Pelodiscus sinensis: one gene and its partners. The protein of the gene in region 3 interacts with the protein of the main gene of each other region in a biochemical or structural test. Links are inferred from orthologs where the notes say so. Each region holds a gene or a part of one and is shown on either strand. Other genes may lie near its edges. The genes, in order: ABCC4, SLC15A5, PDZK1 and CFTR.

Evidence for each region.
Region 1: the proteins of PDZK1 (region 3) and ABCC4 form a complex in vitro, tested with the Homo sapiens proteins (2 studies listed by BioGRID and IntAct, with this or other methods). The link is inferred for Pelodiscus sinensis from reciprocal best matches to the Homo sapiens genes PDZK1 and ABCC4.
Region 2: the proteins of PDZK1 (region 3) and SLC15A5 interact in a test that uses a peptide from one of them, tested with the Homo sapiens proteins (2 studies listed by IntAct, with this or other methods). The link is inferred for Pelodiscus sinensis from reciprocal best matches to the Homo sapiens genes PDZK1 and SLC15A5.
Region 4: the proteins of PDZK1 (region 3) and CFTR form a complex in vitro, tested with the Homo sapiens proteins (2 studies listed by BioGRID and IntAct, with this or other methods). The link is inferred for Pelodiscus sinensis from reciprocal best matches to the Homo sapiens genes PDZK1 and CFTR.

What each region holds. Positions count from the first base shown.
Region 1 is NC_134711.1:251,544,686-251,551,783, reverse strand, and holds the start of ABCC4 (ATP-binding cassette sub-family C member 4), read right to left. Parts: upstream 3,011-7,098; 5' UTR 2,612-3,010; coding exon 2,538-2,611; intron 1-2,537. UniProt on the Homo sapiens protein: ATP-dependent transporter of the ATP-binding cassette (ABC) family that actively extrudes physiological compounds and xenobiotics from cells.
Region 2 is NC_134711.1:112,673,383-112,680,976, forward strand, and holds the start of SLC15A5 (solute carrier family 15 member 5), read right to left. Parts: upstream 3,004-7,594; 5' UTR 2,332-3,003; coding exon 1,956-2,331; intron 1-1,955. UniProt on the Homo sapiens protein: Proton oligopeptide cotransporter.
Region 3 is NC_134711.1:163,351,148-163,358,977, reverse strand, and holds the start of PDZK1 (Na(+)/H(+) exchange regulatory cofactor NHE-RF3), read left to right. Parts: upstream 1-4,821; 5' UTR 4,822-4,963; intron 4,964-7,830. UniProt on the Homo sapiens protein: A scaffold protein that connects plasma membrane proteins and regulatory components, regulating their surface expression in epithelial cells apical domains.
Region 4 is NC_134711.1:45,169,628-45,177,009, forward strand, and holds the start of CFTR (cystic fibrosis transmembrane conductance regulator), read right to left. Parts: upstream 3,019-7,382; 5' UTR 2,899-3,018; coding exon 2,846-2,898; intron 1-2,845. UniProt on the Homo sapiens protein: Epithelial ion channel that plays an important role in the regulation of epithelial ion and water transport and fluid homeostasis. Mediates the transport of chloride ions across the cell membrane.

The DNA of each region.
Region 1 (7,098 bases), about 88 Mb from region 3:
CCAGTAGTCAGGACTTAAGAAAAACAGCAATTATCACAATCTCCCTCCCAATGCCACTCATGGGATGTAGTTTTGGAGCTTAGGGTACATGTTTTACCATGTATTAGTGCACAAGACATTCTGAAGCACAAATAAAAACATTTTTAAACCACATATTTTTAATTACTCCCAATTTGAATAATGAAAACAGACAAGGCAGTGGCTAAAGATGATGGTCTCCAGAGACTCCAAATTGATGGCTCATTTTAACAATTCATGACATACTAATTCTCCTTTGTCCTATTACTGCAGAAATGTTAACTGCCTACTTCAATTGAAGCAGTTTCTAAGCAGTTCCTTAGCAGTCAGTCCACTTTAAATTTAGCCTCAACACGTGGATCCCCAGAGGATAAACGGAACAACCAATAGTCAGGAACGATACTGTAGGAAGCAGCCAGCTAATAATTGGGTATTGCTTTGCAAGATTCCCCAGAGAGCCACGTGCTACTTAAGGGATCTCATTTAAAAAAGAAAAAATAAACCAGGAGTTTGCTCGAGGTAGGGTAGATTTCGTTAGAAGGAACAAGTGACTGGTTCGCCTCTGCTCATTGCGTAAGTGGAAGAAACAGCTTGTTTGAAAATTGCTGACAACTTGCATCACAACTGACCTAAGCACAGGTGGCTCAGACAAGAAGCTGTGACCCAAGTAGCACATTCCCTTTTTCCATTTACTACACAGAACAACATCATGCCGGGGGCTGAAATCAGTCCCCAACGAGGCAATTCCGCACAGCAGCGAGCATCGCAGGCTCCCTATTCGCGATGGCGCTGCCGCCCCCCTGCCCTCCCACGGGCGCACAGCATCAGCCCAGCGAGCAGCGGAGGTTGGCAGCTCCACCAGCCTGCCCCCGGCTGTGCGCTCTGGCTCGTCCGGACCGCGAGAAGCGGCCTGGCGGGAGGCTAAAGGACGCGGGGCAGCCCGGCTGAGCGGGTCGCACGGGACCTGACCTAGGCTTGGAGAAGGGGGCTGGTCCCAGCGAAAGGCCCCCGGCCCCACGTGCACAGCCTGCCTCCCCCCTGCTCTGTCCGCGGTAACACTCCCCCCCCCATGTGCACAGCCTCCCCCCTGCTCTGTCCGCGGTAACACTCCCCCCCCCCACGTGCACAGCCTCCCCCCTGCTCTGTCCGCGGTAACACTCCCCCCCCCACGTGCACAGCCTCCCCCCTGCTCTGTCCGCGGTAACACTCCCCCCCCCCCACGTGCACAGCCTCCCCCCTGCTCTGTCCGCGGTAACACTCCCCCCCCCACGTGCACAGCCTCCCCCCTGCTCTGTCCGCGGTAACACTCCCCCCCCCATGTGCACAGCCTCCCCCCCTGCTCTGTCCGCGGTAACACTCCCCCCCCCATGTGCACAGCCTCCCCCCCTGCTCTGTCCGCGGTAACACTCCCCCCCCATGTGCACAGCCTCCCCCCCTGCTCTGTCCGCGGTAACACTCCCCCCCCCATGTGCACAGCCTCCCCCCCTGCTCTGTCCGCGGTAACACTCCCCCCCCCCATGTGCACAGCCTCCCCCCCTGCTCTGTCCGCGGTAACACTCCCCCCCATGTGCACAGCCTCCCCCCCTGCTCTGTCCGCGGTAACACTCCCCCCCCCCCATGTGCACAGCCTCCCCCCCTGCTCTGTCCGCGGTAACACTCCCCCCCCCATGTGCACAGCCTCCCCCCCTGCTCTGTCCGCGGTAACACTCCCCCCCCCCATGTGCACAGCCTCCCCCCCTGCTCTGTCCGCGGTAACACTCCCCCCCCCATGTGCACAGCCTCCCCCCCTGCTCTGTCCGCGGTCACACTCCCCCCCCATGTGCACAGCCTCCCCCCTGCTCTGTCCGCGGTAACACTCCCCCCCCATGTGCACAGCCTCCCCCCTGCTCTGTCCGCGGTCACACTCCCCCCCCCCATGTGCACAGCCTCCCCCCCTGCTCTGTCCGCGGTCACACTCCCCCCCCATGTGCACAGCCTCCCCCCTGCTCTGTCCGCGGTAACACTCCCCCCCATGTGCACAGCCTCCCCCCCTGCTCTGTCCGCGGTAACACTCCCCCCCCATGTGCACAGCCTCCCCCCTGCTCTGTCCGCGGTCACACCCCCCCCCCATGTGCACAGCCTCCCCCCTGCTCTGTCCGCGGTCACACTCCCCCCCCCCCATGTGCACAGCCTCCCCCCCTGCTCTGTCCGCGGTCACACTCCCCCCCCCCATGTGCACAGCCTCCCCCCTGCTCTGTCCGCGGTCACACTCCCCCCCCCCCATGTGCACAGCCTCCCCCCCTGCTCTGTCCGCGGTCACACTCCCCCCCCCCATGTGCACAGCCTCCCCCCTGCTCTGTCCGCGGTCACACTCCCCCCCGCCAGCCCGGCCGGCAGCTCCTGCCCGGCTCTGTCCAGCGCGTGCCCGGGAGGGAGCCTGAGCCCCTGAGCGGACCCTGGGCGCGGGGCGAGCTCCTGTGCGCGCCTGGCTCCGACGCCTGCTCCTGGCGGCCCGAGCAGCCCGCGGGCCGGGGACTCACCAGAAGAAGAGCCGGGAGCAGAGGTTGGCCGCCTGCAGGGGGTTGGGCTTCTTCTCCCGCCGCGGCGCCTCCATCCCCTGCTGTCACCTGCAGCCGCCGCTCAGTGCCCGGCCCGCAGCATGCAGCTGCCGGCAGCCGCCGCCTCCCCAGCCCGGCGCCGCTTCCGGGAAACCTGACACCCAGCCCCGGCGCCCTCGCACGGCCGGAGTCCGCCAGCAGCCGCCGGGGCCAGGCATCGCCCGGGCACGATCCCCGCGAAGCGCTGCCCCGGGACGTGGCAAGAGACGTGCTGGAGCGTGGGCGGTCAGCGCCGGGAGACCTACCGCCCGCCGGCAGGGGGGCTCGGGCCTGGCCTTCAGTGCGAGCAGGATTTCAATAAGCCTCCTTTCTTCCAGCTCCCGCACACGCGAGCCCCCTCCTGGCTCCGGCTACAGCTGCCCAGCTCCCCTGAGGGGCCGCAATGTTTGCAGGATTTGCGCCTTAGAAAGTTAACGGGAAGCCACAGGAGGCCAGCTCCATGGGGGCAACGACCTTAGATCAGTGGGGTTATAATCTTTCATAGGTGCCCCTGGAACTGACTGGATAAAGTATCAGTCTCTGTAGTTGTGGATTGAAGTCCCATCTTGGTTGTCTTTATATCATGTTTTCTGACAGGAGGTGGAAATGGGCACCAAGGGAGGCTTAGGTTGGACATTAGGAAAAACTTCTTAATTGTCAGGGGACATCTATGCTAGGAAGTTAGTTTGAAATAACTAGATTCAAAATAACTCCTGAAAGAACTGTTTCGAGATAGCTTATTCCCCAAGAAAAGAACTAAAAACTAGTTTGAATTAGCATTTTGCTAATTCGAACTAGCATGTCCACATTAAGTGGACCCTGAACCAAGGTTAAGGATGGCCGGAAGCAGTGCCGGCAGGGCATCAGAGGAGGACTTAGAGTGTGGAGATGCTGTCTCAGGCTAGCCGAGGGCTGTGCTTAAAGGGTCCCGACCCCCACCCCGGAAAGACAGTTCTCAGGGGTGCCCCGCTTGCAAAGCAGTCCTGGCTTGGAGTGCCCGGAGTACCCACACTAGGCACATCACACCACTCAGCCATCAGCTCAGCTGCACTTGCCACAGGCTGCCATCTGGGGAGAGGGGGCAATTGGGAGGCTGCAGGAGAGCTTCCACCTCCAGAAGCCCACAGAGCCAGCCCAGTCCTCCCCATCAGGGGCTCATGCCCCATTCCTCCCTCACCTCCTTCCACTTACCCTTCCCTAGCCCCTCTTCTTGATGTACAAAATAAAGATAACATGTCTTCCAAAATGGAATCTGTCTTTATTGAACAAAACTGGGGGAGACTGGGAAAAGGAGGTGGGTTAGGGGAAGAGAGAGGCTGGGAGAGGGGAGGGCAACTAAAATGATCAGGGGTTGGGAACAGGTCCCATATGAAGAGAGGCTAAAGAGACTGGGACTTTTCAGCTTAGAAAAGAGGAGACGGAGGGGGGACAGGATAGAAGTCTCTAAAAACAGGAGTTGGGTGGAGAGGGTGCATACAGAAAAGTTTTTCATTAGTTCCCATAAAGAAGGACTAAAGGACACCAAAGGAAAGGGATGGGTAGCAGGCTTCAAACTAGTAACAGAAAGTTGTTCTTCACAAAGCAAAGAGTCAACCTGTGGAACTCCTTGCTGCAGGAGGCTGTGAAGGCTAGAACTGGAACAGAGTTTAAAGGGAAGTGAGATCAAGTCATGGAGGCTGGGTCCATGGAGTGCTATTAGCCAGGGGGTAGGAGTGGTGTCCCTGGCCAAGGTTTGTGGAAGGCTGGAGAGGGATGGCACGAGACAAATGGCTTGGTCACTGTCTTCGGTCCATCCCCTCCAGAGTCCCTAGGGTTGGCCGCTGTCGGCAGACAGGCTACTGGGCTAGATGGACCTTTGGTCTGACCCAGGACGGCCATTGTAAGCTCAGGGCTCAGGGACGGGGGTCTCACTGGACCCCCTTGATTCTCTTGCACACCTGCTCCTGGGTGGCCAGGCTGGCAGCTCTCCTGCCCTAGACGGCCACTTTCCTGTGCCTAGTGCGGAAATCGTGGACAAGGTCCAGACATACCCTGGATCACTGGAATAAATTGCTTAGAGAAGTTATGGAATCTCTATGTAGTCTTCTATGATTCTTTCTTTTGCAGGCCTCTAAAATTGTGAATAGAGCTAGGGCTTTTTTGGAAATCTTAGACATAGTCTGTGGACCTTCCCTGTTGGAAACCACTGCCTTAGCCTGGCAGCTCCTTAGGGGAAGCATAGTTTTCCTACATGTTTGTACAGCACCTAGCCCCTCTTTGCACTACTAAAATACAAATAAGCACTAATTAGATTTTGATGGACAGTTGCAGGTTACCTACCAGCCCTGTGCTCCTGGAGAGCCAGGGAGTGACATTCATGGAAAACCATCCTTCCCCTTCTCCTAGGTTTGCTAGAATCAGACAAAGCAATGAAAAGGCCAGGGAAGATACACCTAAACTAATTAAGGAAACACCCCAGCCTCATCTGCATTGAAGATAGAACAGAGGGACATCTTATTAGCATACAGAATGGAGACCAGCTCTTCCAAAGCAGAACCGCACTGAACTATGGGATACCAAAAGCAGAGAAGCACTGCCTGATGGGAAATCTCTGCTCCAGATGCTAATGAAGCCAGGCCTGCTCACACCCCAATTAGTCATTATCAGACCAATTCTAGTAATGGAACCTATTGACATCCAAAATATTGAAACTGCCTAGTTGCATTGTGAGTTTGTTCAAGGAACATCATCCATAACCAGGGATGATCAGTCTCTATTGTCCCGCCTCTTTTTCTCTTTGAACTATTGTCCTATCCCTATAAAAACTCCTACCCTGTCCCAAGAAAAACTGTTCTGACACCTGGATTTAAACTGAATCAGTTCCATTGAGAATTCATCATCTCCTGTCTGATCGTGCTGGGGGCTCTGCTCTGCTTATCTCCTGCCCTCTAGACCCCCAGCTTCTATCACCATCTGGGAATTCCGATCAGTGCATGCTCCACGGAGTGGTAAGGTCTCTCTCTCTCTCCCTTCCTCACCCCCAACTGCCTCTCTAAGCATAGTCTCCTGACCCTGACCTATGTAAACTGTTATATGGTTACCAAACATTTGTAATCAGTTTCAATTTAGATTTAATATTGTAACTGTTTCATATCTATTCACTACCCAGAAAAATAACTTTCATTGTTAAGCTGTTTGCTTCTCTCTCTTTCTTTCTCTTTCACTTACTCTTCCTCAAGGGGTGTTGTTTTGGCTTCCCCATTCACTCTGCAACAACACTTCTTGCACCCAAGCTAAAGATCCCTGTAGTGCCCAAAATCCTGTGGGGTTTGCTCATCGTGTGGTTTACCAGTGAATTACTGTGGTGTGAAAGTGGGGTTAGGGGGTGCTGAACCTGGAGGCTTATGAGTATGGCAGCTTAAAGTGCTGTTTAATCCAGCGAACTGAGTTTAAAGGCTCATGATGGTGCAGTGTAGCATTGCTGTTAACCCATCCTGCTGAATCCAGGGACATATGAGGGGTCAGCTTGTGAGTGCTGAGTACCCAGTCCTCTCAGACATGCTCTGGTAGTGGGTGTGAGTGTCTGTGTGTGTTGCTAAGGTGGGAAGAATCCCATCCTGAGGAACCTAGTTCCTTCAGGAGAGCTCCAGTGGGAGGGGGAATTGACAACAGGGAGAGAATTCAGCTCCATATGAGAGCACAAGCAGCACACTGATAGAATTGATAGAATTCCCCAGTCCCATAAGAGTAACCCTAATAAATGAGCATACCCCATAGTATTGGGCAAATCTAGTAACAAGATGGAAAGCACCCACCTCCCTCATACTTAAAGGTATCCACTAGACTTTAAAAATTATAAATAAGATAAATATAACTGCTTATTACTTCTGAAACATTTTATTTAAGCTTTCCTCCAGGTACTATCAGAAAAAAAAATTATTCCCAAATCTCAGTTCAAGTCCCTCATTAATTGCTGTGATAAACTTTGTGTGATTTGGATGGCACATAAATAAAGACTTTATAGTCTGAATGTGCAAGAGTAAAACACAGTTTTGAAATTGATTGTCCTACAAGATATATCAAGAACAGCTTGTGCCAAACAGAACTTCTTTAAACAACTTTAAAGTGTGAATTAAGTTCATCCTCACAATGACTTTTATAACCATAATATGGTATAGCTAAGCCTCTTTATTTTCAGTTTTTATTTTACTTCGTTTTCCCCAGGAATTTATCAGTGTTTATTACCAGAACAACACAAACAGGTGAAAATCAGTGCAAAAAAACTTTTCTGGATAAACATTGAAGGGCTGGATGGAAAGATGGGGGGAAAGTATGCAGTAAATGAATGCTATGAATTTGAATTAATGCTTTGAATTTTAGAAAAGACTGTACCCTTTCCATTGTTTGGCAGCAGGCTTACAGAAGAAGATGAGGAATCTGTTCGTTGGGTCAGGGTTGAAATCAGAACCTTACATCTAAAACAAAAATTGAACTTGCATTTTTGGTATACTTGGAATATTTGAGA
Region 2 (7,594 bases), about 51 Mb from region 3:
TATGCTGCTTCTGATGGTTGTCAAGGGAGGGTTAAGTGGTCTGATGTAATATATTTGGTATATAGTTCAACAATTTATTCCTGAAAGTCAATTTGTCCTACTTTGATGTCCTGTTTTTTGTAATCTAGATTCAAAAGACAGGGAGGGATATAAAGCAAATAGTTTTTTTCAGGTATTCATAGAGCGCTTTAGTACTCTAGACAAAGTGGCTTCCTTCTGCCTTCTTTCCACTGACCCACCTAGTTCTCTGCATCATTTTTTCTTTCACATTCTTGTGATCTTTTCTCTTCAGTTACCCCCCTAGATGCTTACATAGCTGATGTACATGACCTGGAATTATTTCCAGCTGCAGCAGCAGCACTCTAAAGGAGGTGCTAGCATCCCCAGTGCAGAGATTTCTGAAACATAAGCTGAGGACACCTGCTGCACACAAGAGAATTCCACACAAGAGCTTCTGGATGGAGCTCAAGTGGACAGAAATGTTGCTTGTAGAGAAGACTCATTCAGAAATGATCTTGATTACTTCAACAATTCTGATGCCTATCTAAATAGTAACTTTTTTGCCAAGCCTGAAAGCTGCCTGCAGTCCCTTAGTATAAGTAAATGTGACTAAGTGTATGTTTCAGCTATACATCAAGTGGTTAGTTATGCAGTGGATACATATTTTATTAGAGAGCTACGGAAAAATGGGTGAATTTGCAATGTCTGTGTTAACATGGCCCTGGAGTGGTAATAACTTGTTCTACCCTCATCTTCTTCCTGTTTTGTTCACTTAAAACCTGGTGATTTTATGAAGTTACTTCTGGTAGATGTGTAGTTTGAGCCACAGGCAGCATCATCAGAGATTGACTGTTACTCACAGCAGGAGAGTACAACAAGACACTGTCTTAAGGTCCCTACTTTACCTCAACCCTGACCTAGAAACAAAAGGCATACAAATTGTATTATCTGATCAATTTAGGCTGAGAAAGCAATTGTCAGCTGTGACATTTACTAAATTGCATGTGACAGTTGTACAGAGGGAGCAGAGCCTTGCAAACTCAGTTTGGCTAGGAAAGGGTGTGGCTCTACTCCTTACACCACCTAATCTCCTTCACAATCCATGCAAATAGCTAATGTTTTAGATTGTTTGCTCCCCCACCACCACCACCACCTTCCAGCCACTCTGTGAAAGCTCTTTAGGAGCTCTCCATACATTACATGTGTGTGTGTGTATATTGAGGGGACTTCAGATATATGGAAGATCACGTGCCGGTAACATTCAAACGTAAGTTATCTAAAAAAATATTTAGAAAAGGGGATCCTGTGCTGAATATAAACAACTCCATTGGGTGGAGTGAAATATTTTTAATATGAGTCAGGCCTTAAAGGTGAGCATACAAGTATTGCTTCTGGATTCAAGTCAAAGTTTGTCTACCCTTATTACCCAAATGTAACGATCGTGTAGTTTTAAATACTGCCGAACCTCAAATTTGTGCCAACTGGAGAAATGCATTGAAAGTTGTAGTCCTGAGCAAGTGGCATTTTCCAAAAGAGATCAGTGACTTTGGGTGCCCTACCTGATACCTTAAAAGGCCTCACTTTCAGAAAAATCCGTAGTGCCTGCTTTCTGAAAAGTAAAACCACTTTACAGTGTCACAGTTTAGGTTCTCAGGCTACAGCACCCAATCCCCCCTAGTCACCTTTCAAAACATCTAGGCCTTATTTTACAAAGATTGTTTCACAAAGTTTCAAAATAATGCTTCATTAAGATATATTAGTACATTTTGTGAAAAGAAAAGTTAAGCCCTTAGCTAGTAGAGAAGTTTGGTGAGGCCACCTGGTTGAAAAGAATCCCTGGATTTGCATTTATATGATGAACAGTGAATTTCTATGGTACTTTAAAAAACTGACACAGAGCAGAGTTGCATACAAAAAGCACATGCCAGGTGAAATGATCATGGCATAGCACCTACCTAGAAAGTGGAGAAACATGCAGATATACACCAGCTTCATCCTCCCCACCAGCTGTTCAGCAATCCAGCCCATTAACACAGGTGACAACATGGAGGCACCTACAAAGCACATGTTTATGATGGCTGCCTGGTGGTTGGGATAACCAAGTTTGATGGTGCAAAATAGAATCATGTTGCAGACAATGCCAAAGAAAGTGAATCTCTCGCACAGCTCTATCAACAGTAGGCAAATAGCCACCTGAAGTTTCTTCTGAGAGTTGAACCCAGAGGAGACTACAACATGCTTTTCTTCTCCAGAGAATTTCCTTTTCTCACTCTCGGCAGTGTGTTCCAGAAGTTGTTTTTCTTGTAAAGCTCTCAGGTCTGTAACAGGCATACTTAACTGTTCTTAGCAAAACTAAATTGAATGGGTTAGGCTGTATGTGCCTTCTGTTATCCTCCACTGTAATTAACAAACTGGTAAGACCCTTGCTTTGAATTCCACACCTTACTACCACAATTCCTCAGGGTACCTATCACTTTAGTGCTGTTACATTAAAGATCAAGGAACACAGGGGATACCAATATTTAAAACTTCTGAGTGCACAATAGTTACTCAATCCAATCTGTTTGTTTGGTGGTGAACAAGACTTTTACCCCTCCCTTCAAAATAATATTACCTCTTAAATTATGTGTATCTAATACAATTTGGCACATATTGTATCTGCATGTTACAGATAAAGGTTTAAATACTGAGGAAGGCTAAATTGTTTCAGCAGAATTCAAGTACTAGATCAAGAAAATAATGTGGAGCTAATATTCTCATACCTTAATTAAGCAACAAGTGAGAAACTGCAAGCAAAAGGCTAAAGATAGAAAGAATGCATGTTTTTAGGTGAACAATATCTTATCATTATTACATTTCTTGTTATTTTTGGTAGAAATTCAGATAAGAAAGTTAATTAGAAAAGTAAGAAATGCTAGCACATTGAATACAATAAAACAGGTTTTACAAGAAAGTAATTCCATGTAGTAATGAAGAGAAAAAGCAATAAAAAAAACACCGAAAACAAGCACAGCTTCTCTAGCCTGACCTTTTACCACAGCTAACACATGCCATAAAGAAGCAGAATGAGGAAGACTTCGGTTCCTGGATGTTAACTTGATAGTTTATGAATAGTTAATAAAGATAAATTGGGACAAGTCTACAGCATGTCTCCCCCAGGCACTCCACTAAGAAGTTTACACAACATTAGTCCAACCTCCTGAATCTCCACTACCATGCATGGCCATTTATACCTGTCCCAACTGGTAATGTCCTGCACCCACTTTGTACAAGTGTAAATGACTGCACATGGTGAAAGACAATGGTGAATCTGACGCATGTTTCTAAAGAACACTATCAAGCCTTTCACTTTGCAATCTGTTGAAACAAAGACTCTTTTCAGTTTCATTTAACTATATAGATACTTAAACGCACACATGATTCTCACCCTTTAGCAGATGTTATGACTACGTATTATAAAGTAATAGAGATGCCTGATAGTATATAGATCACATGTATAGGCCCAAGTCAGAGGTCCAAATCCAAAATTCACTTAACTTTGGTATCAAGACTAAAGGTTACTGCCCTAATTTTCTGTAATGGCCATTAAATATAAATCCAGAAGCCCTGAATGCAGCAGTAGAGCCAAGCATCAGTAGAGCCTCTTTCTCAACTAAGGGTTGAATTCTCATAATTCAAATGAAGTTCTAAAGCCAGAACTTGGCTAAAGGTATCACAGAGTCTGCTTACTTCTGGGTGGGACTGGGGGGGGGGGGGGGGGGATGAGGGAATTTTGTATCATACCAGTACATATGCCTGCCACATTCCCTAAAAGGGACTAGAATGTATTTCATTCTTTTTTGATGGCTGGAGAAAAAGCAAACTAGAGGGATTACTTATAGCCTCAGCTGGTTTTTATTTCATAGTTTAATAAGCCTGGTCCCAAACCACACCACAGGAAAGGAGAAAGTATTGTGACCAAAGAGTAGACGCACACTCTATCTTGGGGAATACCCCTTACCTAGCTGCAGATGCATTAAGGTGCCCTTTTTTTTACTCAACTTGAAGATAAAACTGTAGTATAGACTCAGATTGAAAACACTGTGGTAAATACACTCTGCCTTCTATGCACAATTCAATAGTGAACATTCCCTGCTCATGTGTAGATTTTTGTCTTTAAAAGATTTGGCCAGGGGGCACCTGTGTCTTACTGGTGCTGCTGATTGAGGGCAAATGAGATTATAAGAAGAGCAGTAGAGCTAGATGGCTTGCCAGTTGGGTTTAATTACAACAATTCCTTGTTTGATGATAGTTTGTCTGATCCTGGGGTCAGGCAGGGAAAACAACTGACTGGTTGGCTGGTTAAACACCATAAAACCACAAAGTAGCCTGAAACAGTTGTGTGGGAATGGGTTTCTATGTATGTGATTATTTCAGAAATGGGTCTGCCTCTGGGAGAAGTGAGTTGAAATGTTTGATGGTGAGCCCTGGGGACCATGTGTTCTATTCCTTACTCTGCTGCATTGTCTGGACCAAACCCTTTAATCTGTTAGCTGGTTTATCCCTTAATATAGTAGTTAGAATACTTAATGCAAAGTGCTTGAGGAAAGGAGTCAGTGTAGCTAATATCTTTAGGGTTACACTAGTATTGAACCAGATGCGATTTTAAGTGTGAATCACCAACACAGGCTGAGGACTGAAGTGGGTTCAAAGAGGAGTCCTGCCTCTGACAAATCTGTGTGGGCCCCAACCAGGCTGACAAAAGGATTTAGAATGACTAAATTATGGGATATGCTAGTGGGGGGGGGGGGGGTGTCTCCTTCAACTGAATGTGTTCCATTTTAATTAACTAACTGAATAACTAAATGTTAATTGGGCCAGACTCACCCTCTAGTCTAATGGTTAGACACCCACCTAAGAATTAGCAGAGCTCTCACTAGGCAGACTAGGGACTTAAACTGAGGTTTTACTCACAGCAGAGGCAAGCACTCTAATTGCTGGGTTGCAGGTTGTAAGAGAGGTGAGCCTCATCCTTGCCTGCCTTCATCCTGTCCATTTTACATGGCCTCTGAGTCCACCTACCCAATCACCTGAATATGGATTAGGAAGAGAAGTGCCTATCTTCCCACAGTCCAAAAAGTGCACTGGGGCTTATATGTGAGAGGAGTATGTGGACTTCTTGAGGGATGCAGCAATATACATGCACCCAGGCAGAAACATAGGCACTGCGGGAACTTTTACTGCACAAACTTAGGCACCGAGTGACCTGAGGCACCTAAGAGTCAGGTGGTAGCAAAGTGAGAGTTTTGTGGATCATAGTGATGGGTAAGTCAGGGGCATAAGGGCCTTTGTGGATCTGGGTCTTGAAATCCTTTAAAGACGCATCTTTAAAGAGATAGCTCTGTCAAAATGGGACAGCTGGTTCCTGAAGTGTTATAAAAGTATTTGTTCTCTCCTAGGTGCCTAATGATCTCAGCTGGTGTAAAAGAGACTGCTCATCAGTACAGAAGGGCTACGTCTACATTGGCAAGATTTTGCGCAAATACTTTTAACGCAAGAGTTTTTGTGTTAAAGTATTTGCGCAAGAAAGCGTCTACACTGGAATGTGCTTTTGTGCAAGAGACGTGCTTTTACGCAAAAGCATCCATGCCAGTGTAGATGCTCTCTTGCGCAAGAAAGCTCCGATGGCCATTTTAGCCATCGGACTTTTTTGCACAAGAAATTCATGTTGCCTGTCTACACTGGCCTCTTGCACAAGAACACTTGCGCAAGAGGGCTTATTCCGGAGTGGGAGCGCCATAGTTGTAGCACAAGAAGCACTGATTTCTTACATTTGAACATCAGTGTTCTTGCACAAGAACTCACGGCCAGCGTAGACAGGCGGCAAGTTTTTGCACAAAAGCAGCCACTTTTGCACAAAATCTTGCCAATATAGACACAGTGGAGTTGTTATTTTTGTGTAGGCCATCTATCAATTGATGAGCTCAGCACCAGAAAGATGTTCTTTATTGGTTCTACAGCCCACTTAAAATAGTAGGGAGTGACCAGGAAGTAGCCTAGGCACTTGCATGTTGCTCCAGTTACTGACTTACCACCTGCTTTGCCTTGGTTCAGTCCGGTTGCCAATCTGGTTGTGCGGCTACAGGATCTACACTTCTGCTCATATGATGGAAAAGTTACACTGTGTTGATTGTTTTCATCTGCTATTCTTATTTAAACACAATACAACTTTTTTTAAAGAAAATATGAAAAATGTTGTAATGCACCCTAACACTTGCTGTAGTTCTTGCCAAATTTCTTGTTGAGAAATGTCATGGACATTTTGCTGATGTGTTTGGCACTACAAGTGTAATTTTTAAAAAACTCAGGCCCAAGGATTTGCTCTGCTCAGGGTTGCAAAACCAAGCTTACTTAAGTTTGTAAGCCTCATTTTCAAAAGCGATGTAAGCTGAGATCCTCAAAGGTGCTTAGATGCCTAACTCCTATTGATTTTTTCAATGGAAATTAAGTACCTTTGAGACTCTTACACGTAGGTGACCAAATCCCATTCACTTTCAGAGAGACTTAGGAGCCTACGGGTCTAACTCACTTTTGAAATCAATGCCAGAATTCCAGTTGACTTCAACGGGACAAAGTTTCGGTCCTGTGTATACAGATCTAGAGATCGCAATGTGATGAAAGGGGTGACAACTTCAGTGACAGAAAACAAGAGATGTGATAATTGAGGCAAAGACTAGAATATCATGTTTTTGAGAATTACCACTTTAATCTTTCCTGAGAATAGTTTAATTTAAAGCAGGTAGTAGCTGTGACTAATTCATCTCCCTGCCAACAAAGCATTGTTCCCTGCAGGATGTCTTCTAGTGAGAATAGCTGACTAATCATCATGCTAGACAGCCACTGTTCGTGACTACTTTGGAGTGCACTGTGTCTATTTCCACACCTCAAAGAAAGAACCACTCTTCTTGTTCTCTCTGCAGTTGGAAAGGAAAACCTAGACTAACTTTCAGTCTGTCTAGGACACAAAAATACTATTGGGAAACAATGGTCTTTGACAGTCTGAAGATAACCTGCTACTTACAATCATAAAAGAAACCTCAGGAGATCGAGTCCAACCCCCTGATAAATGCAGGACCAACTCGAACTAAATCATCCCAACCAGACTTTGTTGACACAGGACTTAAAACCCTCTAGAGATGGTGATTCCCCCACCTCCCTAAGTAACCCAATCCAGTGCGTCACTACCCTCCCAATGAAATAGTTTTTCCTAATATCCAACCTAGATCTCCCCCACTACGACTTGAGACCATTGCTCCTTGTTCTTCCTTCTGTCATCACTGAGAATAGCTTCTATCCATCCTCTATGTAACCCCCACTTCAGTTGAAGGCTATTATCAAATCCCCCTCCCCCTCCGTCTCTTTGGCAGATGAAATAAGCCCAAATCCCTCAGCTTCTCCTCATAGGTCATGTGCTCCAGACCCTAATCATTTGTGTTGCCCTCCACTGGACCCTCTCCAATGTGTCTACATCCTTTCTGTAATGGGGGGGGGGGGAGGCGGAGGACAGAATAGGATGCAATACTCCGGATGTGGCCTCACCAATGCCTAATAAAGG
Region 3 (7,830 bases):
TGAACTCCACCACAGTGCCAAAGCTTGCAGAAACAACATGCAGAAGTCCAGATTAATTCTGAAATTATCTGTTATTCTGATTTACTGCAAGGCTTGTGAGAGTGGATGTGTTTTGTAAGCTCCCAGATCCTGGAGTCATGGGGTATGAGATCCTTGATTTCTCTCCCCTCTGCTCCCCCTTAAAAGAAAAAAAAAAAACCCCAAAATTCTAGTCTACATGGTTGCAGAGCAAAGCTTGAAACATAACATGGTAGGAGGGGGCACCAGCCATGTGCCCCCTCAGCCTGAGGAAAGGCTGGGACAACTCCCCTCCATCTCAGGTCCTGCCTCTCACCACCCTTGCTCCACCTTTTTCCACTCCCCTGAGCTATGCGGCCTCGGGGACTAGCAGAGCTGGCAGCAGGGGCTGTCCTCTTCCCTCCTCCCCATACTCACCAGCAGCAGTGAGGCAAGTGGAGCAAGGTGGCCCTAGCTTGCTCTGCTTCCTCAGCCCCAATGCTCTGCTTTCCGGCAGTGAGTGTGGAGCCGTCCCGTCTGTCCCGTAAGAGATGTGACCAAAGGAGCACTGCAAGCTGGGGCCGCTGCTCCACTTGGCCTGCTGCTGGTGGTGAGTGTGGCAGGGGGCAGAGCCCAGCTGTAGGTACTAGACCCACCTCCCACTAGTTTCCCCGTTGGCTACTGGCTGGTCCCTTTCCCCTCCCACCCAAAGTGCTTGGGAAATTCATGCCACGTGCAGGCAGATGCTGCAGCTAAAGCTGGCTGCTGTGCGGTGGCTCAGGGGGCCAGGGCTGGGGTACATAAATATTAGCAGATGGGAGAACCTGAAAAGGCAAATAGCTAAGATGGGAAGGAACAAGAGCGAGCAAGTGCACTAACCAGGCCCTGAGCTACCACAGCCAGGATTTAGGTAAAGATGAATTAATCAAGGAGAGAATGACAAGGTTGTCATTGTTATAAATGGAACTCACTGCTTGTCTTGGAATATTAGAATCACAGTATTAAACTGTCCTGCCTCTGTATTGACAAGTCGTGCCATACTTGATGTTTCCTTAGCGCTCCTGCTCCTGGAATCAGGTGATTCTATGTGAATATCAACTTTCTATTTTTGAACTAACCATCTGGACCCCACAATGGCAGAGATATGTAGAGCCCTGTGGTGAGACAAAATTGGGATCCACAGCTGCAAAAATGATCCACAGATGCCCATGGACAGGGCTTGACAAATCATGTAATATACTCGCCTGTGGCGAGTAGATTACAAGCCGGCACAGCCAGCGTCACACGATCTGCGCATGCGCAGCGCGATCTACACATGCGCGGCTTGCAGAACTGTGCGGCTGGCGAGTGGGGCTCGCCGCCACTTGGCGAACCCTGCCCATGGACATAAGGCAAGTATCTGCAAATTATGCCTGGTTCTAGATCCAAAATGATATCTGTAGCTGCACCCGTATCTGCAAAAATGAGTCATGGATATCCGCATCTGTGGATATCAAGTGCATATCTGTGGATTTGCAGGGCTCTAGAGATATGCTTGTAAACCAGCCTTCCCATAGGGTGTGCAGGTGGGGAGGTTGATAGATATAGATAAGCAAGATACTGTATTAATCAGCAACACTTCAGGTTTCAAATATGTGCCTCTCCTTGCCAGCTGAATGTGGCACTGCAACCACTCCCTGCCTCCATTTTTTAAAATTTTATTCTTTTATAACACAAATCTTCAGAAGCATTTTACAGCTTAATGATAATCTTAGTAGATAAAAAGTACTCCAGTATTAATTGACCTGTGGAACCAGGCTTTTTCTGTTGCCCTTGGGATTCACGTGGCTTAGCCCTCTAGCTGGGTCACGCTCAGAGTTCAATTCTCTTCTGGGATCAGAGAAGTCCAAACAAAACAAAACATTCTTTCACACCCGGCTTGGGCCCCCCTCAGCCCACCCTCTGGGCTCAGGCTATCTTTTAATCTTTCTGGGATGCAGGGGCCTCTCCCAAGCTCTTTCCTTGAAATCCTCTTACAGTCTTGGCCCCTTTGGGATATCTTTGAGTCTTCCCTGCTCTGGAAGACCCTGCTTCAGGGCCCCTTTATAGGAGTATAACTTGCTCACTGTAGTTCCTCCCCCAAAATCAGTTCCTCCAGCCCCTCTTATGGGGGCATCTATACAACAAAGTGGCAGAAAGTCTCAGAGCCTGGGGCAACAGCTTCATGTTTGTGTGATGGTGCTAAAAACAGCAGTATAGACATTGTGGCATGACCCATGAAGCACACACTCCTCCCTAAGCTACAAAGTCCATGTTTTTTATTTTTAGCACTGTAACATGAGCTCAAGTCTCTAGTCTCGGGCATTGAGAATCCCTGCCACTTGCTGTGTAGGTATATAGGGTTGCCAGGCCTCCAGGATTGTCCTGGAGTCTCCAGGAATTAAAGATTAATCTTTCATTAAAGACTGTCATGTGATGAAACCTCCAGGAAATCACCCAACCAAAATCAGCAACCTTAGACATATTCTATGAGGTCCAGGTGTTTCAGGCAATTACATGATGCCTATTAATTCAGCCCATTCCCCCATCCGGAGCCTGGATGGCAGTCAAGCTCCAGTGGATGTCTGGTGCAGAAACTAGCTGCACTGCAGTGCCAAAAAGCATTAGCACTGGCCACCTCACTACCCACTCAGGTTTGGCCCCTCTGCCATGAAGGAGGGACAGTATGTTAAAATTTGAGTGATTGGCATTGCAACCTGATGCAGAGTGCAATGGAATTCTGGTTGACTCCCTTTGCCTCCCCCAAATTGGCCCTAGGCACATGCCTAGCTTGTCTATGCTTTAATGTGGCCCATATGCTTGCTTACTCACTCAATACTGCACCCTCATCCTTCCACAAAGCCCCATGCCCTGACCTCATTGCTCTACTGTTCGTGCACCCACATGCATTCTCCTACCCAGCTGCTGGGTCAAACCCACCACACTCATTCCCAAAGAACATTGCCAGCCCCATTCCCATTTACCAATTTTCCTATAACTCACTCACCATAGGAAGAGAATCCCAATCCCTCACCCTCAGCTGGTAGACACTCCCCAACACTACCTCCCTCAAACCCCTGCTTGCCCTCTGGAACCTACCCACACAGCCTACCCCCCTTCTTCTGCCCCTCTGGCCATCTCTGCCTCTACTTCAGTTGGAAGATGTTATAGGCTATGTCTACACTGCATGCTTATTTCAAAACAACAGAGTGTGTGTCTACACAGCAAGCCCATTATTTCAAAACTATTTTGAAATAACAGGCTTCTTAGTCCGAGCTCCGTAACCCTCGTTTCACAAGGAGCAAGGGAAGTTCAAGAGAGTTCCTCCTTCGACTTCCTGATGCGTAGACAGCGCCAAGAGCCAAGTTAAGCTACTTCAACTTCAGTTACACAATTAATGTAGCTGAAATTGCATATCTTGACTTTAGCCTGCAGTGTAGACATACCCATAGAGGCGCAAATTACTGTTCTCAAAACAATACATGGGCTGTTAGAGCCTCATCTGTATCCACCAAGCTCATTGAGTCAACTGGCCCTTAGTGAATATCAATGAAGCTACTTTGCATCAACAAAACCTCCCGACACATTACCCAAATAGCATGCTGCTCCTAGAGACTTAGGTTCTAGTCCCACCTCCACAACTTCTGGGTGACCTCAGACATGTTGCTTTTCACCTCTCTGCCTCTGTTTCCTTATCTAGCCTTTGTCACTCACCTGTTTACATTGCAAGCTGTTTGAAGCAGGGATTCTGTCTTACCATGTGTTTGTCTAGCACCTACCAGAATGGGCTTCAATCTTTATTGAGGCCTCTGGACACTATTGTAATACAAATAATTCCTACCCTCAGAATGCATATGGAGTCCCATGCCCAACATCCAGAAGGAAGATTTTCATGCATCTCCACATTCATCCTGCCTATATGCAAAGATCATATTAATGCAATATTCAGACAGATTTCGATGCCTTTTACTTCCACCCCTCTAGCCTCTTGGGACTGTCTGTTCCTATTCTTTAGCTCATAACAGACATGGATATAATGCATCACAGATTCCCAGGCCTGCCCATGGAGAGGACGGGGCCAAAGGAGCAACTGTTGTCGGGCCCAGCAATACAAAAGAGTATTGGGGTCTTATCTACCACTACCGCAGTAGCTGGAACTCTGGGCCCTTTAAATCACTGCCAGAGGGCTGGGAGGAGGGGTAGGGAGGCTGTGGTCCAGGCAGTGCTGAAAGGTGGCTATCCACAGCCATGCCTCCTTCCACCTGAGGCCCCGCCCCTTCCAGGGGCACAGAGTAGGGGGCTCTGCCTTGCTCAGGGCCCAGCAAGGCTGTTGGCCCCACTGCTGATTCCACAGAAAATTTGCTCACGGTTACACAGGCAAATATCTTAAGTTTACTTTTCCTTGTCAACGGAGCTGATTTGCTAAGGAAACAATCAGATATTAACCATGGAACCTCACAATGCCATTTTGCAACAGTGTAACTAAGGCAGTTATTAATTTGGAGACTATAACCAGTAGAGGTACAACAGACGCGTTCTTTCCAATAGCTGAGTCCCTGTCACCAGAGCCTGCCTGCCAATGCTCATTTCTAGTGGTTGAAACTTGTCTTGGATCTGCTCTATGTGAGCCCTTGTCTGTTTTAGGGGAAAGCTCTTACCAAGAGCAAAGATCAGGCTTATCTTGGATCTGCTCCCTGTAAAAGTCTGAGTTTGACAGTATAATGATCAATAAAACCCCAGAGCAGAATTCAAAGTTGCTGAGAAAGGAGAAGTGATTTGCACCACTGCAGGCAGGTTATCAAGGAGGTGAATACATGAAGTAAGACTCAGTTAAATAGATAATCTTTTAACTCAACCTTTGCACAGTCCAAATTCAGCTGTACCTACAGGCAAAGCCACAGGAGAGACTGCTGAGAATTCCCTAGGGGACAGCACCCTGCAGACACGGGTAAGAACTTCCCTTCTTTCTTTACTAACCCTTGCCCCCAAACCTCCCAGGAGTTACTACCCTGGTTACCTTTTTAGGTTGTTTACCCCTATTCCTCAAAGCTTTTGTGCAGCAAAAGGAGTATTAGCATTAAGCCCCATGCTAGCTTCCCCACTCCCCCCCTGAGGTGCATGAGTTCAATATCTGCCATTTCCGGCACCTGCAGATTTCTTCGGCTTGGTTTTCGCTGGGATTTATCTCTATTTCAGGGACTGGTGAAAACTCCTAGGATATTTCTACACTGCCCCCGTTTTGCGCAAAAAAATATGCAAATGAGGCAAAGCATGGAATATCACAGCACTTCATTTACATAATTAATGAGGCTCTGTTTTTGTGCAAGAGGCTTGTGCGCAAAAAAGAGCCATCTACACAGCTCCTTTTTGCGCAAAAACCCTCTCTTGTCAAGAGCCATTCTTCCTGAAAAAAAATGCGGAAGAACAGCTCTTACAAAGAGGTTTTTGCGCAAAAGCCTCTTCCGCAAAAACGAAGCCTAATTTATTATGCAAATGAGATGCAGCGATATTCCACGCTTCGCCTCATTTGCATATTTTTTGTGCAAAACGGGGGCAGTGTAAACATAGCCCTAGAGCAGGGTTTCCCAACCTATGGGTTGGGACCCAAATATGGGTCGCCATTACATTTCAAAAGTGTCTCCACAGGTGGCTCTGCCTCCCCACCTCCCCCCATTTTTGAATTGCCTTGGGTCACCAAGTCTTCCTGCATTGTCAAAATGGGTCCCCATCTGGAAAAGGTTGGGAACCGCTGCCCTAGAGTATTTAGAACAAGCCACTATGCGCTGCAATTTTCACAAATGCAGCCTGCTCCAGTTTAAAGCAGGTCAGTTCCACAAGGGCAAGTGGTTGCTTTGCCTGTCTACATGGAGGATTTGTCATAATACCAGTGCATGGGGGATAGAATCAGGGCAAATCGTGACTTTTCAAAGGAAAGGCAGGTAAATTGTGTGCTGTGGTCTCCTCTTTACCTATAGGAGAGCTGTGTTTGGGATTAGAATCTCTACCAGGAGAAATTTTCAAAATTGGGTTTAGGAAAGGATGCACCTGCTACAACTGAATTTACTTCAGTCTTAATTTCTCTTTTGTGGATATGTTCAGTGCTAAGTATTGCAGTATATTCAATCTTTCCAGCTATGGGCAGGGTCCTAAGCTGACAAAACTGTATCTTCCTTCAGCTTCCATAACACATCTGTGCCCATCTGACTTTCAATATGCTAGCTGACCTAACTCACCCATATCCTTTCACCTATAGGGGCAATCATCTTTTAATAAACGGGGAGGAGGAGATTGTTTTTGAGCTTGTTTATACATGAAAATTAACTTATTATGAAATCTGGTGTGAATTTAAAGCATCTTTTCCTTGCAAACCTTTGCGGGCACTCTTATTCAAGAAAAAGAGTATCTTAAATTCTGACTTTGTTAAATAGCACCAGAATGAGAGGGGTCACACAGAGAGTTAATCTGGAATAATTATTCCAGATTATAATCTGATTGTTAAGAGTGATATGTGCATGTGGGCCTGTCTATCCATCTTTAGGGGGATAGCAACAATACAGAGAACAATTTGGAGGGACAAGTCAGCAGCTAGAGCTTCGCTGGCATTAATGGGATCTTGGACAAATTTTGTCAATGCTTCTTAGAAATAGTCTTGTTAATTATCTCCACACCCACAAAGTCCCAGGCCAGACCATCCCTGCAACATGGGCCTATTTCTTTATAAACGAGCCCAATTTATTTTGAATAGCTCTCTCTCTAGTCACAAAGCTTCTCATGGACTCTGCTGACCTAGGCTAGCATCCTGTGGGTGGTCAGAGAGAGTAGTTCAGAGTCACAAACCTGAATTGATTAGAATACCAGACAGCTGAAACGAGACAGAGTTTCTACATATATCATCCACAAGGTCTGGCGCATAAGGAGAGAAACACAGAGTACCTAGGAAATCTTTACAGCAGGACAGGTGATCACATGGACCGTATTTATCTGGGCTGCGATTAATGTGTAATTTGTACATCACAGCTTGCCTTGGTCACATGACAGCTTTTTCTCTTAGTGATAAGCAGACAAAAGTCCATCCAAAGGGTTATCAGTCATTAACTACATAATTACACAGATTTTTTTGAAGAGCCAGTCAGAGAAAGATGTGTTAGTAAACCACAACACTCACTAGGATAGCTCTTTGGCAGGAGCTGTTGAACAGTGAAATTGCCTCCCCCTGGACCTGCTCCCCAGAGTGAACCTTATTTCCCATGTATTACATTTTCCCTTGTTGTGCATTTTATAATGGTCAGGCACAGAAAAGAAAAAAAAAAGAAGAGTTCCATCCCACCGACTAGTAATATCCCAAAGACCCATCTGGCTACACAGTCAGTTGGCCCTGAATTCTGCCAGAAAGTGCTCTGGTTTGCATGGCAGGCTGGGGCAACAGATTGGAAATTCAGCATCAATTAATACTTAAAAACTTGAGTTTTTCAATGAATTAAATGGAAAGTAATGAACCCAGTCCATACAGCAACCTACTGTTTCTGTAATTCCTTCAAGATATGTAACTTCCTCCAAAGTGTGAAAATATTTTTGTACATCATTGCACTGTAGAGGTCATCAGGGCAGAAAGCTGGAAGATCTGGCAATTAGATAGGTAGTGGGCGGAGATCTTTGGTACCTGAGAATACAGGTTAAGATTGTGGTATAAGCACATTATCTAGACATTTGTGCTCTAATGACCAGCAGCAAAAGATTTAAAACCCCTTTCCAAACCCACAAAGCCTTCTCTGTGCTAGCACAGCCCAGTTTTGTAGGTGTGCATCCAAAGGAGTT
Region 4 (7,382 bases), about 120 Mb from region 3:
GTTACAAACTAAGATCCAAATTCCTTACTCAGCTATGTTCACATATCTCCCAAGCAGGACACATGCATCTAAGCAAAGAATCTGGCCACAGGTTTGCAAAAAGTAATATATTACTTAACATTTCATATGCTGTCGTCAGATAGCTGAGAACCACTATGATGAATGATATGTTTATCACTGAGACTCCCCTGGTGGATAGTATCTTATCTGCAAGTTTCACCACAGTTATTTCAAATGGTCGTACAGTGACCTTCAGTCTACTACATTACATCGAGATTGGCATTTTACAAATACAAAGCCAAGAAAGAAGCAGAACCCAGTACAAACTGTGAAAGTGAAAATGTCTTAAACTACATGAAGACAGATTATAGGACAATGTTAAATAATTGTTGTTTGAAGGAAAAGTAACTTTCTTCCATTTCATTTTATAAACAAAGGAAGTATTGACTTCTTGATTTTATTTCAGCTGCACTGTTCATGCTACACTAGAATAATAAAAGCATCAAACCTGGTACATGGGATAGCATAAAAGGCACATGCTTAACCTTAAGTATATTCTTAAGTGCTTTCTAAATGAGAATGCTTTCTAGAACAGGGTTTGCTCTTGTTATGCAGATACAATTACACACCAAAATGAAATTCTATCATTTTAGAAAAAACACAGCAAAATCCAATATTTAACCACAAATTTATGGGATGAACCAGTTTATTGAATCTACAAGTGTTTACCTAATGCTATACAAGAGTATTGTTCTGGTTTTGTAAAGTTCATCACACATAGTATTTCTTAAATTCTTTTCACTTCTTATAACTAGATAATTTCACTTGTTGCTGTATGTCAGCTTGCTTTCTAGCAACTACAATAACATATTTCCCCCCAGAAATTTATCCTGACCCTATGAGATAGATACTCTGTTTGGGTAACTGAATAGCAAAGGCATGTATTTTCAAATAAACCAATATACTTTCATAGTTTAAAAATGTTAGCTTTTGAACAAATTTAATAAATAAAAACTATGTATTCTGGCACCCTTCTAAAAGAAGAGTTTTGATGCAACTCTTAATATTCACCATTTTTACATCTAACTAGTGTTAGCCTATTGATGTATCAAATAAAACATTCCAAAAGCACTGAATCGTAAAAGGGATGATATATGTTGAGAAGGAACAAAGAAATCATTTGTAATATAAATGTCCTAGACAACAAATAAACAAAAACTTTGTACTACACAGAAATTTATTAGTTTACCAGTTTCATTCACTGTGAAAGTATGCCCGTATTTACATTTTTTTGTGTTTATTGCAAAGAAAGTTTATTTTCAGTGGGTTGACTTTTCTTCTACCACACCAATTAGCATTATAAAATGGTTTACATATTGGTGACAAGGAGAGAAACATTGAGTATATTTCAGCATGCTTTTTTTTTAATTGCAGAGTAATAAATGTTATATTAGTTGCATTTATTTCAGTTTCACAACAGGCCTAATCCAAAGCCCACTGAAGTCAATAGAAAGATGCTCCTTCAGTTCAATGGACTTTGGATAACTCAAGATACTTAAGCAGATGCTTCACACTGACCATGTGTTTAAGTCCTAGTTCAGACCAGGGAACTTTTGCCTAAAGAAGGGATCAGAGATCATTTTTTTTCTTGGAGTATATTTTTTGAGGCTTAAGCATCAGAGATTCTAAGATACTTACTCTATGATATGTCCCAGAAATAACTAAGATGAAAACAAACTAGAGGCTGGACTAACCTCCCAAAAATATTTTAAAAGAGGCAAAGTTATCCTGAAATCTAGCCATTTTTAAAAAGTGAGTCTGAGGGGTCACACTTGCCAGAAGCAAAATGCAGGACTATGTAGCACTTTAAAGACTAACAAGATGGTTTATTAGATGATGTGCTTTCGTGGGCCAGACCCACGTGGGTCTGGCCCACGAAAGCACATCATCTAATAAACCATCTTGTTAGTCTTTAAAGTGCTACATAGTCCTGCATTTTGCTTCAGCTACACCAGACTAACACGGCTACATTTCTATTACACTTGCCAGAGTCCTCCTGCCATTCATAAGCACAGTTTACTATTTTATAAACTGATTTTCTTACCCCTATTGATGCCTATAGGAAGCAATAAGGAAAACTTTGTAGCTGCGTGAAACCGGGTGCACCCAGTAGGCTGTCAGAGGTACAAAGTTGGGGAAATATGGAGGACGATTTTTGTCTTTCTAATCTTGCTCCCGTATGATCTCAAGTGTTACTTGTCACAGCTCCTGGTAAGGGATTCTCAGATGTGTGATTTGTATGTGTGTACTGCGTGTGGTGATGGTGGTGGAGGAAGGGGACGAAAGAGAACACGCAAAAAGAAGAGAAAAGGGGCCACGGACTTTCAATCCATCAGGACTCGTCTGACCGAGATCTGTGTCTAGGGAGTTGACCCTAAAATCACTTTCAAGAAAAGTGCTGGCGAAGCAAATTCCCTCCGGAGTTCTCACACCTTGCAGAGAAATGCACAGCCGCCTGCCGCGGTTTACCCAGGGCTGCTCAGATAGCCCGCTCTGAATTCACTCCCTCAGGGAGCATCGATGGCACGAGCTGAAGCGGTGTCCGCCCCTAGTGTTCAGAACACAGGCACGACGTGCCCGGGAAGACCACGGAGCGCGGCGCCGGCGGCAACAACCTGGGCAGCGCGAGGCGAAGGGGAGCAACCCCAGCCCGACTCCGGCCAGGCGCGCGGCGGCCGCAGCCCGGGGGCTGAGGATGCAGGATCCGAGGGACCCCGCCGAGCCGCATGTCGCGCGCTGCCGCCCGCCGCAGGGCCCGACCCCCGCGCCCGGCCCCGGCTCTTACCTGAAGAAAAGTTTGGAGAAGACGTTGGCCTTCTCCAGGGGGGAGCGCTGCATGGTGCCCGGGGCCGCGCAGGGAGCTGCAGCGGCGGCTACTTGCGAACCTCTCCCGCGCCCGCCCCGCTCCTGCGGCTCCCCCACCTTATGCACCCTGCCCGCGCTGATGTCATTGGCTCCCTCCTTCCCCTGCCCCTCTCCCCGCCTCTGCTGTGTCCACGGGCCCGGCCTCCGGCCCCCGCACCCCGCCTGGCCTCGCCCCTCCGGCCCCAAAGGAATCCTCCTCCCAGTCCCGCCCGCCGCCGCCAGGTGCGCGCTCCGGGACCCCAGCCCCGAGTTCCCCCGAGGAGCCCCGCGCTCCAGCGGCTGCCTTGCGGCATGAGGGGGCTGGCCGCGGAGCCTGGTGACGCCCTCGGACTTACTCGCCCCACACTTGTGCTTCGGGGCTGTGTGAAACCGTGAGGCTCCAGAGCCCCTTGGGGTCAGGTCTCCCCCGGATAATCCCCCCCACCCCTCGCAGTTTTCTGGGATCACTCCGACCCCCCCCCCTGCTCCTGGGCTCCAAACGGACCTTTCCTTCCCCCTAGGAAAGCCCCTTCCCCTGCCCAGGTCACCTCTGCGCTTTCTGGGTTGTGCCCAGGGTCTTATTCTCTGCCCCCTGCCACGCAGTCTTTGTCTGGTACTGTGTAACACGGCCCACTCCACAGCTCTGAGCCCAAAGTATTGCTACATCCCATCCCCACCCCTAGCTCGGCTGGTAACTCAAATGCCAAGCACAACACGTTGCCGACCTAAAAGAACTGGCAGAGGTTCACCAGGACACCTGCTATAAAGCCAATTTCGCTCTCTGTCAGCAAATCCTCTGGAAGAGTTTATGGAAAGAAACTCAGACTCCCACTTTACAATGAAAGACTTGGCATTTAAAGCATCAGAAGAAAAGGTAAAACTCGGCGAAATCAGGTGCAAAGGCAGTTGAAATCCCCGCTACTGCCTCATATTTTATAAACTGCTCAGTACACCTTGTTGCGTTAAATCCTGGAAGGCTATTGTTAAAAGTGTTAGGCACACATTGACATTGGACTGGAGCAGATTAATAGGGAAGCAGGCTCTTTGAACTGAGATTTTTATTATCTCGAGGCCTTTGGCAAATTTGTTTACTGTGAAATTACCTGATTAATTTCTGCTCGAAATTAATCTAAGTGCAAATGTTAATACTCAGTAATAAGGATACTCTCATGGAGTGTCCAGACCCCATGCTGTCTTGGCTACAAAAGGGTTACTGAGATTGGGCAACTGCCTGCCTGCTCAGCTGGGGCTGATCAGGGGACTCAAAGCAGCTGAGAGATTTTAAAAAAATGTAGAGCAAAAAGTAGGTGAGCAGCAGCCTTCAGTAACAAGTTGGTAAGATACTCCTCAGGAATATGGACCCTCTAGGGGATGGGACCAAAAAGGTAACTGAGGAACAGCTTGAAAGGTAGGTATGCTAGGTAGACAAGGGTAACATGAAGGAGTTGGAAGAGCTTGATGCTCTTTTGTCATAACAATGGCCATGTTGGGTCAGACCAGAGGTCTCTCTAGATCAGGGGTGGGCAAATATTGGACAATAGGCCAAATGCAGTCCACTAGGGTTAGTCCCTGTTGGGCCCCCATGGCACTGTATTTACCTGCATTCTGCAGGTGTGGGGGATCACAGCTCCCGTTGGCTGCAGACTGCTGTTCCTGGCCAGTGGGAGCTGTGATCACCCATACCTGTGGCAGCACAGGTAAATATAGTGGCAGCAGCCCACAAGTGGCTCACTCTGGGGAACTGCTGCTGTTTTATTGCCCACCTCTGCTCTAGCCCATTCTTTCAAACAGTGACTGAGGCCAGATGCTTTAAAAGGAATTAACAAAGCTGGGAAATTATTGCATGATTTATTTTCTGTCTTTTAGTCCGGTTTCAGACACTCAGAGGCTGAGAGCAGTGCAGAACCTGGGCTTATAGTCATTGATGGACCTACACTCCATGAATTTATCTTGTGTATGGTTCCTAGTCTGGAACCCAGGAAAGTGGGTTCCCTACCAAGCCCATGATGATCAAGAAAAAGTGAGCCATATCCAAAAGAGCCAAAAATTGTGTGCCCCTCAGCCAGGGATATTGACCTCCTAAAATTTTGGACTTTTTAAACTCCTCTTGCCCCTAAAAAAGGTCAAGGGCTCTCAGGGACCTGGCCAGACCTTGTCCATAACAAGGAGTCAATGAGCGGGCTGGAAGGTGGACAGGCCCTCAAAAAGGACACTTACCTGATCTAGCTATGAGAGATGCTGAAGATACTGAAATAAAGAATTATATCTGCTGCATATTTTTACCCTATTTCCATACTGGAAATGATTATCTAACTCACGACTGTAAGAAATGAAGCTGTGCTTTTTTTTTTTTAAACTTCCCAAGAACAATGATACTGGCTCAGTGAAGGTGGGATGTCACACATTTCATAACATTGGCTCAACAAACTATTATTTATGGAGTACAATATGTGTGCATTAACAACAAGGTACCTGGTTCCTGCACCCAAAGAGATTAAAATCTAAACATAACCAAAGTGCTGACAAGCATACAACTAACATTAGGAAAAACACTGATCACAGCATAAGAACATACGGTTATTTTGTTGAGTTATTCATTGTGTGATTGATCCTGGTTTGTTTTGTTTAATACCGTGGTTTTGCTATTTAGACACTACATTTGTTGATTTTGGTTTTTATGGTTTTTGTATTTAAAACATTAGATATGGAAAGGGTAGAGGAGAACTATCTTTCAGCAAGTGCATAGTTGCACCCCTCGGTATATTGTCTAGTACTTTATCCAGACTAGTTGCATCTCCAGCCCCATGCCTTTCTTTTTCCTTGCAATTTATGCTACCATTTAATTAGCTGTCATTCCTAGGATACTTTTACTGATATTTTTCTTTCTTAATTTTATATCATTATTCCTAGTTATGTCCAACTGTACTCCCATAAATAATTCTTCTTCATCTTGGTGTTATTACCGCATAATATATGAAGTTGGTTAATGTCTCCTCTTATGGAGTGGCTAAACAAGGCTTTTTTGTCTCAAATTTCCCACTGATCTTACCTGTGATAGCAATAATAGGCGTGTCAGTATCTTAAGCATTAGGGCAAACTCATCCTGCTTAGATTAGGTCTAGATGATGCTATGCTTGAAACATCAATGGCTGTTAAGCATTGTCTATTCTAGTATTCTCACTGTTGTGCTCACTAGTGGAGCTGAATTGGTGATAGCAGCAGTGTGAGTCTTGAGGAAAAAGGGCTAGTGGAGATGTCCCACTTAATTATTGTTCAGACTTGCGATGAGGCATCTGCCCCAAGGGTTAAATCCAAGCCTGGGAAAAGGCTGGGGCTCTGAAGCAAGGAGCTGCATCATATAGCAGCCAATTAGGGCACAGAACTCCTGCTGAATGCAGGCATGTGTCCTAAACCCTGGATTAGTCATTCTCCTCCTATCCCAGGGTATATCTACACTAGCTCGTTAATTCGAGCTAGATAGGCAAATCAGGCATCCAGAGTTGCAAATGAAGTCCTTAGTTCGGATTAACTTTAAACTGCCGTGGGCAGTTCGTTCAAATTAAGGGGGATTTAAAAATGGCGGCCAGACTGGAACATGCAAATAAAGCCCGGGATATTTAAAGCCCGGGCTTCATTTGCAACTCCGGTTGCCTGATTTGCCTATCTAGCTCGAATTAACGAGCTAGTGTAGACATACCCCCAGTGACTTATTCACAGTGGAACAGCTTCAAGGGGAGATACTAAGGGAATTCCAATTCAGAATATCTCAGAGCTGGCTAGTAAAAGCATCTACCTAACATTTCAAAAGCTGTCTTTCACCTCTTCACTCCCCCCCCCCCCCCCCCACATGGAAGAAGAAAGGGCAATGAACTTGTGTCTCCCACATTGCAGGTAAGTGCTCTAGCCACTGGGATGAAGAATATAAGGCATCTTGTGTGGAGCGTCGAAGGCACCTAACTTATTCTTGCAAGAAATAACTTGAGCACCTAAGCTGACTGCAGCTGGTGAGTCCTTGTTCATGAATTGCTATAAGCAGCTAGGTGCCTCCTTGCAGCCTGCACTTAGGTGCCTATCTGGGAATGAGGCTGGAGAAGTGTATGGTGTGGCTTAGCATGCATCCTTTTCTTCAGCATTTCCCATGGGTTAGTTTAGGAAGCTCCCTACCTAGCAAGTTGTTGTTTGTGGATCACATTTTTAATCCTAGGTATCTCATTCAGCTTTGTAGATTAGTGTTGTTCCTGTGCACATTTTTTTAACCACATAGGTGTCTAAAAGTTAAATGTTGTGGCACTTAACATTATAACCAGTGTTTCCTATAAGCTAGACCCTCATGCAGTCACTCAGGAGTAATTCAGATGCCACCCAGCTGATTAGCACAGTACCCACAGCTAGATATTTTGTTTCTATCCCTGGTTCACATAAAAATTATTCTGCACATAGATGGAAAAAATAGAGGGAATATTGGTTTCAATGCTCAA